Linked DNA regions of Oryzias latipes. The protein of the gene in region 2 interacts with the protein of the main gene of each other region in a biochemical or structural test. Links are inferred from orthologs where the notes say so. Each region holds a gene or a part of one and is shown on either strand. Other genes may lie near its edges.

Region 1 (4,561 bases), about 5.0 Mb from region 2:
CTTCCCAGGTTCTGTAAAAGGATCGAGATTTTTTCCTATCACAACTGTCTCGGTGTGAATTTTGTTTTTTGTCAGACCTTGTTTTACTATGGAGAGAGTAAGATGTGTGAAGATACGTCTGCAGCTCCCCAGGATCCCAGCTGCAGGTCAGAGAGATGGGTCTGGTAAGGTTTGCCTGACAACTAAGATTTTGTGGCACTTCTGGTGGATCTACGGATAAAGAGAACAAACAAAAACATAATAAATGCATGAATGGAGGATTGATGAGGATGTGAAAGTGTGATTTATTAACTTTAATTTTTACATCAGCATTTGTTTTAAAGGTGTTCACTTCAAAAGATGGGATAATAGGACATTTTCAAACTCATTCTGAAATAACCACAGATAAAGAGCGAATGATTGACTGATGATCTGGTCCAAAGACACATCTTTGGATTTAGGTGTCAATATATAAAATAACTTGTCTGCATCCCAATGTGGTGGAAAAGGAAGAGATTCCCTTAGACTACTTTCACACAAAAGCGTGTTTCTGGCTTCCACGTTCCAAAATCTTCACGCACACACATTTTTAAGACCATTATCGGGGTCTGTGTGCACAAACACGCTGCCGTTGATTGCGTGTTGAAAGTACCAGGTTTAACTTCAACTAATCAGGGACTTGGTAGTGATGGATGGATGGCACCCTTCAATTTGCAGAAGTGCTAAGTATTTGAAATGGATCATGGAGGAGAAATTGATACAGTGGTGGGGAAAGTTGTTGGTACACCTCAGTTAAAAAAAGAAGGTCCACAATGCTGACTGAAATGACTTGAAGCGCTCAAAAGTAACAATAAATTAAAATTGATTGAAAATCACATAATCAAAATCAGCCATTACTTTTGAGTTGTTTATTAACAGAATTATTTAAAAAAAAACTAATGAAATAGGGCTGGACAAAAATGATGGTACCCATAACTTAATATTTTGTTGCACAACCTTTTGTGGCAATCACTGCAATGAAACAGTTTCTGTATTTGTCAATGAGCCTTCTGCACCTGTCCACAGGTATTTTGGCCCACTCCTCATGAGCAAACTGCTCCAGCTGTCTCAGGTTTGACGGGTGTCTTCTCCAAATGGCAGGTTTCAGCTCCTTCCACAGATGTTCAATGGTATTCAGATCTGGGCTCATAGAAGGCCACTTCAGAATATTCCAACGCTTTTCTCTCAGCCATTCTTGGGTGTTTTTGGCTGTGTGTTTTGGATCGTTGTCCTGTTGGAAGACCCATGACCTGCGACTGAGACCAAGCTTTCTGACACTAGGCAGCACATTTCTATCCAGAATGCCTTGATCATCTTGAGATTTCATTTTACCTTGCACAGCTTCAAGACACCCTGTGCCAGATGCAGCAAAGCAGCCCCAAAACAGAACTGAGCCTCCTCCATGTTTAACAGTAGGGACAGTGTTCTTTTGGTTGTATGCTTCATTTTTGAGTATACGAACATAGAGCTGATGTGTCTTACCAAAAAGCTCCAGTTTTGTCTCATCTATCCAAAGGACATTTTCCCAGAAGCTTGGTGGCTTGTCAAGATGCATTTTTTGCAAATTCCAGTCTTGCTTTTTCATAATTTCCTTTCAACAGTGTTGTCCTCATTGGTCATCTTCCATGAAGTCCACTCTGGCTCAAACAACGACGAATGGTGTGATCTGACACTGATGTACCTTGATCTAGGAGTTCACCTGTAACCCTTGTGCTATCCTAGGCACTTTAACATTGGGAGTTGGGTCATCTAGACCCACTAGACAATGCTCTGAACCTTTTTTCTTCAGTGCTTTGTGATCTTCACTGGTGTCCATGGATTACATGAAATCTTTCCACCTTTATCCACCTTTGTTATGGTAGGAAGAACACGTCAAAGTCAGGGTGGGGTCATCTAAGATAGCACAAGGTTTAATGTCTTTGGAGGTTATCCTGGCCTCTTTGGATACAGTTCGAACTATCGGTCTCCTCAATTTGTCATCAATTTTCCTCTTCTGGCCACGTCCAGGGAGGTTGGCTACTGTCCCGTGGATCTCAAACTTCTGAATAACATGTGCCACTGTCGTCACAGGAACTTCAAGCTGCTTAGAGATGGTTTTCTAGCCTTTACCTTTACGATGTTTGTCTATAATTTTGTTTCTAATGTCCTGGGACAATTCTCTCCTTCACTTTCTGTTGTCCATGTTCAGTGTGGTAAACACCTTTTTACCAAACAGCAACATGACTATTTGTCTCCTTTTAAATAGGCAGACTGAATGATTATGGGTTTGAAAACAGCTGTGATGTGAATAGCTGTGAATAGTTCTCAGTCTTTTATGGAGGAACCATCATTTTTGTCCAGCCCTGTTTCATTAGTTTGTTTTTTAAAATAATTCTGTTAATCAAAAACACAAAAGTGATGGCTGATTTTGATATTTTTATTTTCAATAAATTTTAATTTATTCTCACTTTTGAACGTTTCAAGTCATTTCAGTGAGCATTGTGGACTTTCTTTCTTTAACTGAGGGGTACCAACAATTTTGTCCACCACTGTATCTGTATATTTTAAGTGTGCAGATATTTTACCACTACTGTTACACACTAAAGGGTTGCATTTGCTGGAAAAACACATAAAAACATCTGATTGAACAAATGAAAAGAGGATTCTTTCTCACATCCAGCATGGATCTGCACTCCTCCCACAATCTGGTCAAAGTTTTTGATGTAGCACGTGAGAACGGCCTTCGTGTGATTAAAGCTTGAAATGGCAACTGTGGACTTCGTCTCATTCTTGTTGAACTCAGTACTGCCAGGAATAACTTCACTGTCAAGAAGCCATTCAAGTTGAACAGCCTGTCCCAAGAAAAGAGGGCAACCCTTGTCGACGACACAGGTGGCATTGACTGGTGACCCTAGGGGTACCACAGGGCTTGACGACTGGACATCTGCACAGCGATTCAAGTTGTCACCTTAAAACAGAAAGCTGCATTAAATGTGCACTCCTTCATGGGTTCAAACTTCTAAAAGCTAGCGTTTTTCCTAGAGTTAAGAATATATATCTTTCTGAGAGGAACACTTACCATTCCAAGCTCCGTTTACCAGCGCCACCAGCATGGCAATCAGTAGCATCCATGTAACTATCATTGTGGCAAATCTACTAAAAGACCACACAGATATTTAACAGACTATCAATATACATCAAATTATAAAGCATTTTTAGTCCTTTGATAATCTCGCGATGCTGCTAAAACTTCTGTGATAATCTGCCAAATAAAAACCTGTGATGTTTACTAGGGCATAGTTTCTGCAGAGCGGCAGTAGTTCATTAGAAATTTGCCTCTGAGTTGTGGTTGGACTGTTGGTGCAGAACAACCCCAACCTCCCTTACCGTCACCCATAACTAAGCTATCTAATTACACACTCTCCCACTGTCCTACAGTCCCTCACACCCCTAACCTAACATTATCGGGGAAACAAAAACGGAGGGCAATATTGAAGCTAACCTGCCGTACAGTTTTGAGCCAGATGCAAACTCGGACAAAGACAACAAAAACGTACATGGATCTGTCTGCAAGTGGATCAGAATGGAGCTGAACAGGGGGCTTCAGGCTCGCCCAGTGTATTTTCTCTATAAACACTTTTCTAATGGTATTTTTTCATCTGCTCCTGATTTACAAGGATGTAAACAAAAAATAAATTTAGTTATGCAATTTAAAGCTCAATTTTCTTTACAGATGTAACTCCATCATCAGAAAAATGGCACAAGAACAGCTTAAATATACCAAAAACTCAATTTTCGGAACTGGATCTTTATGACATACATTTACAAAAGATGCTCTTATTTTTACCATTATGTTGTTGAAACAATGTGACTCATAGTGTAAAGCTGTTAAAAGCTACGGCAATTCAAATATAAATGACCTGTATTGGGAACCATTATTCAATCATTTTAGTATCCCTTGGTAAAAATACACTTTCTGAATATGAGGTCTATTCAAGAATAACATGATTGGGGAAAGCACATTCAGTTTTGGGGGCTACTTCAAATACTCACCATTACACAAGAAGGGAATGACGAATTTCACCTAAATGCTTTGCTGGCTCATAAAGCCCTGGCAACAAGAGCCAGACATGTTTTCACAGCATTCCTGCATCTCTGCATAAACATGAAGATGAAACCACGTCAAACTATGTCGCAACGTTACCCTATGGCTAACCAATCAAAAGTAAACAAAAAAAAGAAGAAAGAAGTAATACACATAAAAAAAAAAAAAAACTGAAGTTATTTCATTTAAAAGATCAAACAATAAATTATAGACTTACTGCAAATCAAATTTAGGGTAGCAAAGAAGCAGTTCTGTTGGAGATCTGGACAAAAGTTAAACCTACAAGATTACAATTCTCTGATGTCTCAATCTGAGGTCAGATTGAGTCATGGAAACTAAATGTAACCTAACTTAGTATGTCCAAAAGAAAATGTCCAGAAAAATGGACATAAATTGAATAAATCAAAAATACTTAGTGAATCTACATTAATAAATAAATGTTATGTTTTTATTGGTACA
Region 2 (5,916 bases):
TCCGCAATGATGACATGCACATGTGTAATGCAGCTCCGCTTGGCAGTCGTATCCTGCTTGACAGAGGCCCATAAAAAATGCTTAAAAATCCCATTAGGAGCCAAAACAGGGATTAGAAGAAGGGCTGTGCAGACATCATCCAAAACTTTAACTGGTCAATAATACAGCAGGTACCTGCCGGAGAAGAGAGGAGGGTTCCTGCTCTCAACTAGCGTCAGAGTTTTGTGTCAGCAGTAGCAACAGCTTCTTCAGCAGCTACTTTTCATGAACATGACACCCTCAAATGTGTCATCGGGTCCTGTTTTACTCTCTCTCCCTCTTCCTCCAAATGATTTCATGTCCTCTCTGAATGGCTTTGGCCCTCTCCCTTCCTGCGTCTCCTTCTTCGTCTTCTCTCCTCTTCCAGATGACCTCTGGTGAAGCCTCTTTTCCTTTTTCGGTGCTCTTTCCCCCCTTCTCTCCGTCTCCTTTCTTGTCCTGGAAGTCCTCTCTCCTCCTCCACACAATGTACTCTGCCAGCCTCTGTCTCTCCAGCGCCTCCGCCCTCTCTTGCGCCACCACTTCCTCTCTTCTTTTCCAAATGATCTCTCGCGCCCCCTCTCCCCCTCCCTCGATGGCTCGCCCGTTCTCCAGGCTGTCCCGTTTAACAGAACCTCACTCAAAAAATACAAGTGAGTCCCGTCTGAATGCCTTTTGAACTTAAGGTTTTGGGATGGCTAGAGGCTAGACATGGTCATTACAGACACCCATAGAAAAACAAAGAAAAACCAAACAAAAGTTTGTTTTTAAGACTGGACTCGCAGAGCGGAGCCGGTTCCTGACAGAGGTACCTGATATGGCTAAAAACAAAAGAGCCTGCTTTTGTTTAAGTGTGTTCCCTAAAAATGACCACCAAGTTTCACTTTTTTTTTTTTGTTGTTCTTTTTTTTCTGTTTATTCCTTGAGCACCATTGAATCTTGGTAGGCCTCCTGGGAGATGTTGTCTGACTGGTACAGTGACAGACACTGCAGCACCAAGGTGGTGATGTAACACGGGAGAATGTGGGTCATTGGCTGATGAACACTACTGGTGGGCTCGTTGTGATGGTAATGAAACCTGATTTGTCAGGTTTGATCTCATAATCCAGCTTCAGCAAAGTGAGAGCTCATCAGTGCTGAAGATGAACTCACTCATCTGGGTTCGAAAGAAGCTCAAATAGAACTGACCTTTGTTGTTAACCCAGTGCCAGCTGCTGTCATCTGATTGTTTCGTAGTTCAATTCAATAAAAAGCCCAGATTATAGTTGTTTACCTGAGAGAAGAATGTTGACACTGCCACAAAGTGTATGATATAAAAAAGCCAAAGGCTATATTCCAGGACAGCTCCCTTCCCAACGCAAGGAATAGTCAGATCTCAGCTCTGTCCAACAGACACCTTAAAACACTGCATCTTTCTGCATAGACCAACCTAGAAGGCAAATACTCTTACATTAGCAGTCGCTCACAACAAACATCCCACAAATGAAACAGTCTGTAACAACTTGACCTCAGTGGGAGGCAAATGTACACTTTTAGCCCTGCAGCAAGCTGTCCTGCCTAAACCTTAGTGCTGCTGAGGCACTAGTCATATTTACAGAACATTGACCTTTAGACTTGCAAAAGATGAATAACTTACACAAGGCTGCACATCTGGCACCAACCTTTTAATAATACCAAAAGGAATGGCTTATTATAACATTTGAGAATGCAACTAAGCCAAAAGTATAACGGTCAAGATTGTAGTGGGTGCTGGATGAATGGCAAAAGGAACAGTCGCCTACACCAGTCTAGCACCACAGAGGGATTGTCTAGCAGTTCTAGCTAGCCATCCATCTGGTCTTGGACAAAAAGCACCAAGGAGGATCCAGATATACTCATCCACTGCCAGACAGGCCTGGATGATCTCCAGAAAGCTATAAAGTAGTATGGCTGGAAAAGACACAAAGTCTTCAGATAAAAAGCATGCAGAATAAATTAACAGTCTGTCACACACTTAATAGAACCAAAATTAAGTCCAAAGAGGCTTAGAACGTTCCATAGGCAACACATCCAACACGTGTTAACAGCAGACTAGGAACACCAGTTGTTCCTTCTGAGAGAACTAATAGAGTCGAGTCAACCCTAGCTCTAGGATGTTGGTGCACAAAACACAGTGAAGGTCAGGTGACTGCAGAGGAGACGGCCCTCTACATGAAGAGAAATCCTGAGTCACCAACAGATGAGCGCTGTAATGAACAGACTGTCATAGATGCAGCACTGCTGATGACTGATGATCATAGGCCTCAGGGTCAAACAGCAGCACCCACGGATATGTACAAGTGAAGTCAGAGTGATCATCTAATTCACACAGTCATGCCTGATAGTAGCACATTGAGGACAGATGAACTGAAAAAAAAACATTGGATAACAAACTTTCACACAGACAAAGTTAGAGTTAACAACTATGACCCCTAACACAAAACCCACAAATCATACAAAAGCACAGGCTAATTCTTTCTAAGATGTTACATCTATGATGATCTATGCAACAGCAATGAAACAGCACCAGTTTTTAAAATGAATTTTGAAAAAAAGGAAAAGAGGAACTTTACATCTAGTTCTGTCTGCAGCTGCTTCCCGTTGCTATGGCAACAGACATTAAAAGAAAAGCCCGCCGAGCATGTATGCCGTAAAGTCCCGACAACAGCAGGAATTTTCTGGGATAACTGCTTTGTGGAATCAAACTGAAAAATAGATGAGCCTTTTGGATTTTTTTCCACAGAACGGCAGGATAAAACAAACAAACAAAAAAAATCACAGGCTTTTAGAAGAAGAATACGATTAAGATCAAAGTTTGACTGCTTTGGAGCCACCCATCACACCTAATCAGTGTTGACATCCCACATTGGATGCATGTACGGACTCTAACAGCTAGTCAATCACAAATCATATCAAACAATAATAAAAAAAACCTTTTTCAATTAACAAGGAACACCACACCTTAGTATTTAAAAGACAACTGTTACAAAAACTTGCATAAAAAGCTGAATCTTCTGAGAAACTTCTAAAAGAAATGATTGTATAACATCCTGCAGATCTACAATTATAGAAAATATAAAAATTAGAAGTCGAAAAGAGAGTCTATATTTACAAAAAGTCCTTTAAAAAATGTTTTGTATCAAGTGAGCAACACATTTGCTTCTGTGTTCTTCATTTTTCTCACTAAATATCAAAGCTTCTATAGTTGTTTTTTATTATTATTATTAATAATAAACCATTCATGAAAAGCTGGTTTTCATGTTCCAATAAGAAGAGCCCCAGTGATGTTTGAACAGCCACAGAAAGTCGGATCCTTCGTCCTCTCCTTCCTCTTTCTCTGGCTTTCTCCTCATCCACTCCCAGAAAAATCGCGCTTCCTCTCTGATCCGCTCTTCCGCTCGGTTAATTCACAAAGTCACTGCCGGCTCCTGCCGCTCCTCTCCATCTATCCTCTCTCCTCCGTTTGGCTGCCTCCTCTTTCGTCCCCCTCCTTTGTCACCCTTCCCGTCTCTCAGCGGATGGTGAAATGGCAGTGCTGTCAGGATGGACAATAGCACTCCTTCATTGTACTTCTCTTCTCCCCTCGTGTCTGCCTCTCATGCCCGCTTTCCTTCCACCTCTGTCTGTTTGAGGGGACGAGCATGCTGTCTACCCTCCCCTCCTCCTGTCTGGGTGGGTGATGCTGCCTCCCATTTTCTCGTTCTCTCTTACTCTACCGTGCAGTGCTGCATGCCCCCCTCCCCTCCACCTTCTTCTTTTCCATTCTACTTCCTTCCTGCCCCCCCCCTTCTCTGCAGCCAGAGTCATTTTGAAGTGCACATATGCATGCACAGCTACATACTGCCCTCATGCACATTAATGCACTCTAATGCTCAAGGGGGGGAGATGGGGAAGGAAGGAAGAGGGTGAGTGTGTGTCTCCACGTGCACAGCAGTGCATGCGTGGAAAAACTGGGCTGTTTATGTTGGCCATTCAAGAGTCCTGCCTTCGTGTTTGGTAACTTGAGAAACAGATTTCAAAGACTGGGACAAAGAGACCCCCCTCCCTTCCCTCCTTCAAACCCCACAGCCCTTTAGCCAGCAATTCTGTGTGACAGGAGGTCACTCTGTATAACCTTGATGGAGCCAGATAAACTTAAAAAAAAAAAAAAAGCATGAGTTACATCTGCACAATGAATATGAGAAACACTCACATGACTAGGACACTAAAATATAGAAAGCAGAGAGACCAGAAATTGCCTGTGACAGTCAAGCGGATCTGATGAGAAGTCAGTGTTGCAGAAAAGAGAGGAAACCAGGCATAGAGTGCTGCAAGAACTAAGCAGAGGGGAACAGCAATAAGTCCTCAATTCACACCAAAACAACAAAAAAAAGTGCTTCTAGCTTAAATTTAAGCACCACACCCCTGCCAAGTGCCCCCTTCCATCACCGTGCTTGCAGTATTTACTACTAATGATTAACAGTGAAAAACAGCACCCTCCACCAGCCTGAACCACAGTGGCTTAGAGTTGACACACAATACCTTCAAAATTCCCCCAAAATTTGTGTACCCGTTTTGAGATTTACAGAAAAGGACTAGAGAAGAGACTATTGCAACTTTTTATAAGGTAGACACAGTTATAATGAATCCAGTCTTGCATAATAACTGCGTAAATAATTGAAGCATCTCCTCTCTTGAAGGATATGATTTTCATTTTTCTGAACATTATGCAACCCAGTCCCAAAAGGTCCAAACCTGCAGCCCTGAAAAAAACTTAACCGTAAAGTTCAATTCGTGGCTCATTAAAGCAACTTTATCAAAAGACCTATTAAAGCTGCAAGGGTGAAGGCAGGATTTATTGCTGGACTGCTGTAAACTGCATGTGCTTTTTTTGGGGTAAGACTAATAAACTGACGTCCGAGTACAGTCTGAGGAAAACTGCAATAAATTTCCTTGTGCATATACATGGCAGAGTAATTACTCATGCATGACTACATGCTGACTTCAGACTCTAGTTTTACTTAAATAAGGTAACTCAAGAACAAGCTTTACTTTTATCTGTTACACTGCTGCAGTAGGGAATATGTGTAAAAAGGTCTTTCACAACAAGTTTTTTCTTTTTCAAAATTTATTTTAGAAACAGAATTGTGCCTCAAAGTTAGTATAAAATTATCCTGTTTTATATTTCTTATGTTGTTTAGAAAAACCTTTTAGATAAACAAAAAAAAAAAATCACCTCTGAATACTTTTAACATTTGCAGAAAATCTCTGACTAGTTTAACTAATGATCCAGGATCATTTCATTTAAAATTAATGAATTCTAGAATTATTTGTCGAAGATGTTTTTCAAATCTAATAATTATTTTAGCACAGTAACTAATGCATGTGATGAGATAGAAGCAAAGTTCTTTTTTTGTCCTTTTTTGATACAAATTTAGGCGTTAAAGTTTATTTTAGTCCCAAAATGCAGACAAATATTAGTTTTCTTAAAAGTATGTTCACCATCAGAAACTGGGAGTTCTATGGCAGTTCGATAATTTACCCATTAACTGTACAAGAGAACTGGACTGAGTGAGTGTGACGTAACCCACAGAAAACGGTTTACGGCAACCAAATGAAGCCAATTCAGTCGCCATTTTTCGGCAGTGATTGGTCCAAGTCGGTCCCAGTCTCCATTTCTATGGCAACTACTGTCACTAATCAGGACGCTTGTTGGAAGTCCACACTAACTTTCTTCCACTGAAAGAGGCCTCAGAATCTAACATTTCAAATGTTCGAGGTGGGGGCCAGCGAGAACTGCATGCTGTTACTGAGGCATCTGGTTGGCCAGTTTATAACTTGAATAACTTGCAATGAAGAAATATAATGAAAAATATACAATTAAGATTAGCAAGAACATGT
Region 3 (4,561 bases), on a different chromosome or scaffold from region 2:
TTTCTCAGCTGTCAACACACTCGCACTGGGCGGGCCTGGCCTCTCTGTAACCTAAGATCTTGGTCCTTCTGCTCCCCACAGGGTAACAAGATCCAAGATCACTTTGTCTTATACAGAAGAGAGAGGTTCCCTTAACACACCCACTGTCTTTCTTCAACCATTGCTTTATTGCCTATCAGTTAGATGCTAACCCAGCAGACAGGGGGAAATCCGAATTTTATTTAGAAACAGCCTAGGAAAACCAGGTGGAGGTTCTGTAGACTTTTGCTTACCTTTACTGTTGCAGTTTTCACAAGTTCTTGAAGAATCTTGTTTTAGTTCATTTATCAGCTTTGTGGCACTGCAAATGATTTAGCAGTGCAATGATTCAATTTCAAATTTAATGCACTCTGTTTCAACTGTCTGCTTTTACTGGTAATTGTTGCACCTTTTTGTTTTGTTGAAATAAAAACAGAAGTTTTTTTTATTCTCATTTTATAGAACACCGCTGATGTATTCTGAGGTTTTCTGTTGAAAATACTCCCTGAATTCTGTATGTGAAGCTCAAAATCGCAGCTTTTTTTCTTTTTTTTTGTTGCCTTTTTTTTCAGTTAGCTTTTTCTATTAGCTTCTCTTCAGTCTATAAAGTAGAATGAAAAACAAAATAAATCACTTGATGGCCGGCTTTTCTTTATATATTAGGTCGCTGAAATCTTTTGAACAAAGCTTTTGTTCTGAAAATCCCAGATATATATTTCTGCTTCAGGCTTCTGTCCTCTGGCTCTCGCCACTCCATAGAAAGGGTAGCGCTGCTAAAATTTAAGTGCACACAGAAACAAAAGCCCTCCCGGGATACACGGAGTGAAAATGACATAAATAAAGCTTTTGGTCAGCTTGTGGTCATCTGGGAATGAAACAGTCAGTGTGAGAACATGCGTATAACCTTTGGCCTCATTTTTGTGCTTACCCTGCAGGCATGGAAGAAGCGATGGTTTGTTCTTCGCAGTGGCCGTCTAACAGGCGACCCAGACGTCTTGGAGTATTACAAGAATGACCACACCAAGAAGCCTATTCGTGTAATAGATCTCAACTTGTGTGAGCAGGTATTACTCCTTGTTCCATGGGAAACACTCGATTTGTGTTGTGACAGTTTTGCTGTAGATGCAGTGGAGATACTTGCTACGTTCTTTTTCTTTTCTTTCTTAAATGAGGGTTTGTTTAAAGCCTGCTAGTCTAGCTTTATAGTTCATTCCACATTTTTTTACATTTATGTAAGCCATTATATTTGTGAAAATGAACACTTCTTGGGAACTTCAGTATAACTTGGTAGGTAAGGCTGTTTGTATAACTGGGGGTGGGGTGAAGGGTTGATTCGGACTTAACCAGAGATATAGTATCAATTAACTAAGCTAAATAATACACAATATAATCACTATGACTTAGAAATGACTCAAAAAACTAAAATTGCAACAGTAAAGCCTAATTTATTCAAAGTTTAATTGTGTGGCTAAATGTTTTATGGATGAAGAATGAGGGGGGGAAAACAGAAGGAAAACTTCCAAGAAATGTAGGGAAATCTTTACTTTTAGCCATTATAAAGTTGTTTACAGTATGATTATTATTTATATGTTCTATTCATTCAGTTACCTTTTCATGTAATATTGAGGACCAAAAGAATTGGCACACACGAAATAATTAAACATTTATTTTAAAAAAAATCAATAGTTGCATCATCCAGAACTAAGTTCATCATTCTAAAATATTTCAAGTAAAAAGAAAATAGTAAAAACAAACAGCAAAATGTATTAACCACTGGGTAGTTTTTAATTCTAATCATGTTTTCTCACTCCACTTTTTTTAAATACCATTTCTTAGCAGTGACTTAGTACCTGAACATAATGAAAAGGACTCCTAGAAAAACAAGAATAGAGTCTGAGTCAGAAAGTTTCTGGAAGATGTTATATCACAATGCCTAAAATGCACAAAAACCAGTGAGAATCTCTGACAAGTGATGGTAGTTAAAATGGTTCATGGTTACTTGGGAAGCTCTACAAAACATCATGGTAAAGTAAACAACCCCCAAAAAAATTAAAAAACTCAAGTAAAACCACTTGCATACAATTTAAAAACAATTTTGAAACAGTAAATGAAAATGATAAAATCATTATTTTAGCACGTGTTAAAAAACAGTCTGGGGGCAGTTCTGTTTTTTTTTCTTTCTGAATTAGGCTTAAGGAGGAAGTGTAAGTGTTGCCCTTTGCTATGTCCAGGAGCAGCTGATTAGCTGACCCAAGGGACTGGGAGAGAGGTGTGTGCCTGTAAGAGCTCAGAGTTCAGGGCAAGGCCACTGAAAGCATAAAAACAATTAAGTCTCTTAAACGAACAGGCAAAAAAACCAAGACTTGTTCACCAAACTGTATTTTTTGTTATTAACACAGATCAAACTCAGTCACCTTGATACTGAACCACTATGTTGTAAGACAAACTCTGTTGACGTCTCACCCTAGGTTGATGCTGGGCTGACGTTTAGCAAGAAGGATTTGGAGCACAGCTTCATTTTCGACATTAAGACCATCGACCGTGTCTTTTACCTGGTGGCTGACACTGAGGAAGAAATGAACAAGTGGGTTCGCCACATCTGTGACATCTGTGGTTTTAACCCCACTGACGATGGTAAGCGTTGCCCCATAAGTCGTTATTGTACTCCTAACAATTACAAGTCCTGTTACTGTTGTGTCAATGTTCGTTTCAGGGAAGTTGAATACTCTACAGTAAACAAAACTGATTATTGTTAAGCAGAAACAATGTTTTAACATTAGCTATTTTATTAATCAGCCAAAAAAAAACTTAAAAGTCAAAACGACTCCCTAACCATTTGTAATGTGAGTTAAAGAGCAACATGACATTTTTTTTTCCATTTAGCTTTCAGGATTTATTTATTTATGGGAAATTAATAACTCGCTGCTCTAAACTTGAAATCTCCTCAGCAACAGTTTTTTATTCAAAAGTTGTTGTTTGACAATACTTCTTACCATCCTGCACCAGGCCTTTTGTTAGTTTTTGGTAAAATGCATACACAAAGAGCACTGTAACAAGCATTTTTCGTCTTTTAATTGTCTGTAGTATAGGGCAAAAATCGTAATACAAAAGTCTTTATGTGAAAATGAATCTAAAGTTTTAAAAATCCGACTTTAGTTTGCTGGTGCTTTGAACATGTTTTTTTAAGGAGACCTATATGTCCAGTGATATGAGATCCTTGAACTCCTCCACACAGTCAAGCTCCACTTCTCCTAGGAACCCACCAGATGGATGACATTTTAGCTATTTTATTTTTATTGGTAAATATAATCATAGTTCTGTTGTTGTCCATTAACATGTATGAGTTAATGAGCCACTGCTGAATATTTCCAAGTTCTGCTATAAAAGTTGTAAATATTTTCTGTTTGCTATTAGCATAATCAAAGCCCCAAGTACTTTATAAGTCTTTCAGCCCTTTTTTTCTTCTAGTTCCAATTTCTCTTGCTCCTTAGCAGTAAAATGCATCAGCTTTTAAGTGAGGTTTGACATAAGGGACTGCACAGGTTCTTTTTAGAAGAGGACACTTGTCAAAGTTGTCAAGTGACTCATTGGTTATGGTGCTCTGTCATCCTTGCAGCAGCTATGCCTCAAGTTCAGGAAAAAAATACTAACATTGAGCTCCTCTTGAACAGAATTTTTCATATTGGCTCTTTAAAGACGCACAAGCTAACAGACTTTTCAAGGATAAAAATTGAGACATATTTTTTTTTTCAGATAGGCCTCTTTGGCTGTTATTGTAAAAGAATGTCCTTGGCTCTCTTTCTGTTTGCACTTCTCTGTGTGTGAGACCCAGCTCCCACTCCTCTGTAATGTGTGGCCACACTACACGCAGAGCGCTTCAGAGCCGAGCAGATATTAGAGGAAGGAACATTAGGAAAGCTGGAGGAATGGAAGCTCTCAGAGATGGTGTAGGTGGTATAGATTAGTACTTTCACACACATAAAAAAAGCATTCCCCCCTTTTTTTTCTCTGCAGATTCTTACACAAAACCTAAATAGCAAAAAGGAGCGAACACAAGTGCCGGAATTGACTAGAAATGTTTTTATTAACTCAAAACTGCTTTTGTTTTACAACAAAAAATAGGATTGCTTGGATTATAAGCAGTCATCTTTGTTCACATTTTAGGAGAACAACTCAAGCAGACATTTTTTTTAAAAGATTGGAAATATGGTAACTCTCCCTGTTACAAAGCACAGACCTTGGTGAGGAACTGTATTTATCTAGTGTGGGAAGAAAAACAACAAAACATACAGGCCAAATATCCCAACAATCTACAAATGCCAGTGTTTCATGTCATGGTAAAGACTTTTGACTGTTCTGTAGCATAATCCCTCTTTATTTTCCTTCATTTTGCAGTGCTTTTACTTGTGTTTGGTCATTGTCTTTTTGCTTTTTCAATTTAAGCATTATCAACTGAACACATGGTCTCACATTTGGTCCTCTGACATTTTAGTTTCACCCCAAAAAATGAAAAATCTGAATCAGAAAGTTTTGTATAATAAGG
Region 4 (4,561 bases), on a different chromosome or scaffold from region 2:
CCTGTTAAGGGTGTTTATAATGAGAACTAGGTAAGAGTTATCTGATTGTGCTGAGAATAATTTAGTTTTCTCTCTTTTGTCTTCAGTCTTTTCTAATGCAATGTGTTGCTTCTTTGGCTTTCACCTGTTCATCTTTAGCAGCCTTCCTTAAAGAAAAAAAAAAAAGAAAAACAAAACTCCTTTAAGGTTTCATTTGTGTTATAAGGAAAGATGAATCCCTTAATGTTGGAATCCATTGGGAGTTATCAGTTTAATGATCAAACACATACTCTGCCTTCACAGAGAAAAGGATCATTAATATGTTTTTTATTCTAAAAACTGTTCTGGTGAAACGACTGGTGAGGCAGCAGGATGTTTTTGTTGGGTGGAAACTCAACTGCAGCTCAGCTAAGATGTGATAATAGACATTTTCCAGGAGCCCCCTACCAGGAACATGTTGATGTTTATACCCCCCAACCCAGACTAACTGGCACTGACGCACACAATGCACCATGAATCCTGTAGAGAACAAGCCAGATGTGGGTTTGGAAAAGTGAAACTTGCAGATTGAGTTTTTATAGCTTAGGAAACAAAAATAGGAGGAAACAAAATAGAAATCCCACCGTTTCGTCTGTCCACAGGCTTTTATCTGTTATCTAACCATTGTGTGCAGCCATTTCTGTATGAACCCCTGTCTCAGACTTGCTTTTAAATTAGCGTACACTGCTAACACTTTGTCTATTTTTATCTTTGCAGGCACATAGGATAATTTAAAAAAATAGATTTTGGGAGGAGAATAGTAATTTGGGTTTATTTATGCATAAGGACTTCTACCTGGGTCATAAATTCACCTGACCAATCTGTAAATATGTTTTTGCGTTTTTGTTACAGTGACAACAAACGTGTAAAATTGAAACACAATTTTTGCATCAGTCTGTGTGAAGGAAAACCTAAAAATATTGGAACAATTGTTTGTTTAAATCATATTTTATATATAATGTTTTAATGTGAAATATAGACATACATCATATTTCTATGATAAAGCTCCATTTCGTTTATTTACTTGGACCAACCTTTCTCAGATTATTGGTTGCAAACTTGAGATATTTACTTTACTAGAAACTATTGTCTTGTTGTGTAACGTCTCTCTGTTTCAACGTGAGCGTGAACTTTTCTCATAAAAAAAATCCTCATTTCAGCTTAATTCTCCTGTTTCCTGATCAAATTTTTCAATCTTTTTGTTTAGTTTCCAGGTTGAGGGCGATGTAAAAGAAGAGATCCTCCAGCCTCCTGAGCCTCACCCAGTCCCCCCGATCCTCACCCCGTCTCCTCCGTCAGCTTTCCCCACGGTCACCAACGTACGTCAGGACAATGATCGCTACCACCCTAAACCGGTCATGCATGTCCTACAGTCCAACGTCACACAGGTGAGGTGGATTTTTGAAGTTCGACCTTTTATCATTTAATATGTTAACACTTTGGTTGAACTAAAACCAGAATCTGAGGATTTATTTCAATGGTCTGCAGAGACTTTGCTGCTCTTGCATCATAAAGTGCAAATAATATGAAGGTTGCAAATGCTGCAAATCTCCAACAGGTATAAGAGAAACTTTGCTGAAAATATCTTCATGGAATCATAAATTAGCATTAGGCTAATATTAATTATTATCCTCGCACAAAACCAAGCACTTCTTTTAAAGAATTGGGGGTTTCTGGGGGATTTCAAGTAAGTTTTAATGTTTTACTCAAGTTTAAGCAACGACTTTAGATGCTTTTTGCGTTAGAATTTAGAAAATAATAATTACCTGGTTATAAATGATACATAAAAGTTATGTTAATAAGATGTATATTTTTGGAAATCTTTGTTACCATATAATCTACATTTTACGTCACAAATTGTGCCTGTTTATGGGATCATTTGCAAAATAGCAGTCAAAAATGTCAAAGATTAGCTCAATTTGGGGTTATAACAAATATCTGAATACTCAGATATTCATGATCTGTTCCGGAAAGTACAAGTAGGATTATTTGCGATGTCAGAGATTGTTGAACTATCCAAACAACACAAGGACGAAGGCAAATGATGTTGTGAAGATTCTGGCTGAAGATGGTATGAATGTTTCATTATAAACAGTGAAATGAGTACTGTACAGACACGGGGTGACAGGCTACTCTGCCGGGAAGAAGCCATTACTCAAAAAAAACACAGAAAAGCAAATAAAGACTTTCATTTTTGGAGACACGTCCTGTGGTCTGACGAAACTAAAATTGGACTGTTTGGCCACAATGACCATCGCTATGTTTGGAGGAAAAAGAGAGAAGCTTGCAGGCCTCAGAACACCATCCCAAGTGTGAAACATGGGGGTGGTAGCATCATGTTGTGGGTTTGTGTTGCTGCTGGATAGACTGGTGCACTTCCCAAAATAGATGTGGAAATATTGAAGCAGCATCTGAAGACATGAGCCGGAAAGTTGAAGCTGGGCCGCAAACGGATCTTCCCTATGGACAACGACCCGAAACATACCGCCAAAATGGTTACAAAGTGGCTGAAGGATAACAAAGTCAATGTTTTGGCCTGGCCATCACAGAGCCCGGATCTTATTCCTATTAAACATTTATGATCAGAGCTGAAAAGGCGTGTACATCCAAGGCGACCTACAGTCACACCAGTTCTGTCAGGAGGAAAGGGCCAAAAATTTCTACCGAATCTTGTGGAAAGAAATCCAAGACATTTGACCCAAACACTGCAGTTTAAAGGCAATATTACCAAATACTTAATAAATGAATGTAAACTTTGATAAAAGTAATTAAAACTTGTCTGAAAAAAAACCCTAGTGCCATAATTCTGAAATTCAGCAAATGGAAATAATTTTGTTAATTGTAACTGACCCAAAACAGGAAATGTTTACTTTGATTTCATGTCTGATGGTGAGAAAAAAAAAGGATATGTGTGTTTATATGTGGTGTATGTAAACTTCTGGTTTCTACTGTACATATAGCAACTATTCAGACAGAAAGATTAAAAAGTAAGAACCATGGTTGGATTTGTGAATTATAGATCCTTGAATCAAATCAGATCGCCATAAAGTAACAATCCATGGCTCTAGCACAAGTGTTCTTTTATGGTTGCAAAAACTGTTTTTTTTATTATTTTTTAATGTTTTTTTTTGCAGAATAAAGACAAAGATGGGCTTCAGAACAAATCTGACCCAGTCAAACAGACCAGTCCCTCAGAGCAGAAAGATGTATTAAGCCGAAACCAACAAACTCAGGTCTCAAATGTAGACCTCAATGACAACTACAACAACAAGTTCTCCTCCACGTCTACAAAGCCAGAATTTGGTCAAAGCCAGACTCAGGCGCCGTCCTCACCCCTCTCCCCGGTCATTGAATGTCCCGGCATTCCTCGGATCGAGAGGAAGCTCAGCATTGAGATTAAAAAGGTGCCGCTGCAGGAAGGACCTCGGAGCTTTGACACGTCTTCTTCTGTCGGAGGAGCAGGCGGACAGGGAGCCAGCTCCTGCAGCAGCGGCTGCATGCTGCAAAGAGGCCAGGCCTTCAAGTCTCGCTCCACTCAGTCCCTACTGACGTCGAGCTCCTCCCTGTCGGAGGATTCGGGCACAGAAGGAGGAGCGCTTGGATGTTTGGAGAGTCACACCGAGGGAAGCGCTTTACCCAGGCCAAACCACCTCCCTGTGAAGAGCGGAGATAAGGTGGAGCCGCGCGAATGCAGCAGAGCGGACGTGAAAACCGGACACGCGTCGTGGACGGAGCCCTGCAACAGCCCCGAGAAACTATTCCCTAAAACCTCTTCTTCCTCTTCCTCTTCAGACCGAGTTGCTCCCTCTTCGTCCTCCTCCTCCCACCTCTCCTCTTCCTCTTCCTCCTCTTCTTCGTCCACCCCTGTTAGGACTGCCATAAGTTTCACCAACCCCTTACATTCGGATAACTCGGAGGAGGATGGGAACGAAGTGATGTCCTGTGAAAAGGAGGCTCTTCATACAAGCGTATCCATGGTGACCACCGTGGTGTCCTCGTCGCTTCTTCAACCAGTCAGAAAGGCGTTGCCTGTCTCTATCGTGGGCCACAGCATTTCATCGCCCACTGCAGCCACTGCAAGTATGTCAAAATGTCACTTTCAGGGAAAGCTAAAACGTTTACTGCCGGTCATTTTTAGGGCAAATGTTTTTTATTTCAATTAAGTTTTAGTTTTAGTTAAGGCACGGAGATGACTTTGTTTTATCATTGCTATAGAAGCACATGGTAGGGCTATTTCCTTAAATCTTAAGCTATCAGCACCCTCATGTCAGAGCACTTAAGGAAAAGGGAAAAAAAAGGCATTTTAACATTTTCTGTCAGAAAGCATGACTGTTGACTAACTGATCGGTGTGCTGCAGATTCTGGTGGGCAAACATCTGCAAAAGCACTCGTGCTCTTTCAGCTTGTATGTGGGAGTGAGTTTGTGAAGGAAAGGTTTGTGTGGGGTTATGTGAGCATGTCTGCTGGGGGAGGATTAGGCCTGCATGGCTCTTGATGAATGCACTTCTGCTCAGGTTAGGCTGAACGGCGCATCGCGGTGCGA

Evidence for each region.
Region 1: the proteins of shc1 (region 2) and csf3r form a complex in vitro, tested with the Homo sapiens proteins (2 studies listed by BioGRID, with this or other methods). The link is inferred for Oryzias latipes from reciprocal best matches to the Homo sapiens genes SHC1 and CSF3R.
Region 3: the proteins of shc1 (region 2) and gab1 form a complex in vitro, tested with the Homo sapiens proteins (2 studies listed by BioGRID and IntAct, with this or other methods). The link is inferred for Oryzias latipes from reciprocal best matches to the Homo sapiens genes SHC1 and GAB1.
Region 4: the proteins of shc1 (region 2) and tyrosine-protein phosphatase non-receptor type 12 form a complex in vitro, tested with the Homo sapiens proteins (2 studies listed by BioGRID). The link is inferred for Oryzias latipes from reciprocal best matches to the Homo sapiens genes SHC1 and PTPN12.

The regions. Positions count from the first base shown.
Region 1 is NC_019874.2:23,367,499-23,372,059, reverse strand, and holds part of csf3r (granulocyte colony-stimulating factor receptor), read right to left. Parts: intron 4,153-4,561; 5' UTR 4,051-4,152; intron 3,154-4,050; 5' UTR 3,141-3,153; coding exon 3,077-3,140; intron 2,966-3,076; coding exon 2,672-2,965; intron 211-2,671; coding exon 78-210; intron 1-77. UniProt on the Homo sapiens protein: Receptor for granulocyte colony-stimulating factor (CSF3), essential for granulocytic maturation. Plays a crucial role in the proliferation, differentiation and survival of cells along the neutrophilic lineage.
Region 2 is NC_019874.2:18,333,119-18,339,034, forward strand, and holds the start of shc1 (SHC-transforming protein 1), read right to left. Parts: upstream 3,744-5,916; 5' UTR 1-3,743. UniProt on the Homo sapiens protein: Signaling adapter that couples activated growth factor receptors to signaling pathways. Participates in a signaling cascade initiated by activated KIT and KITLG/SCF.
Region 3 is NC_019859.2:18,117,821-18,122,381, reverse strand, and holds part of gab1 (GRB2-associated-binding protein 1), read left to right. Parts: intron 1-953; coding exon 954-1,082; intron 1,083-2,486; coding exon 2,487-2,652; intron 2,653-4,561. UniProt on the Homo sapiens protein: Adapter protein that plays a role in intracellular signaling cascades triggered by activated receptor-type kinases. Plays a role in FGFR1 signaling. Probably involved in signaling by the epidermal growth factor receptor (EGFR) and the insulin receptor (INSR).
Region 4 is NC_019881.2:13,867,035-13,871,595, forward strand, and holds part of tyrosine-protein phosphatase non-receptor type 12, read left to right. Parts: intron 1-1,225; coding exon 1,226-1,406; intron 1,407-3,152; coding exon 3,153-4,098; intron 4,099-4,561. UniProt on the Homo sapiens protein: Dephosphorylates a range of proteins, and thereby regulates cellular signaling cascades. Dephosphorylates cellular tyrosine kinases, such as ERBB2 and PTK2B/PYK2, and thereby regulates signaling via ERBB2 and PTK2B/PYK2.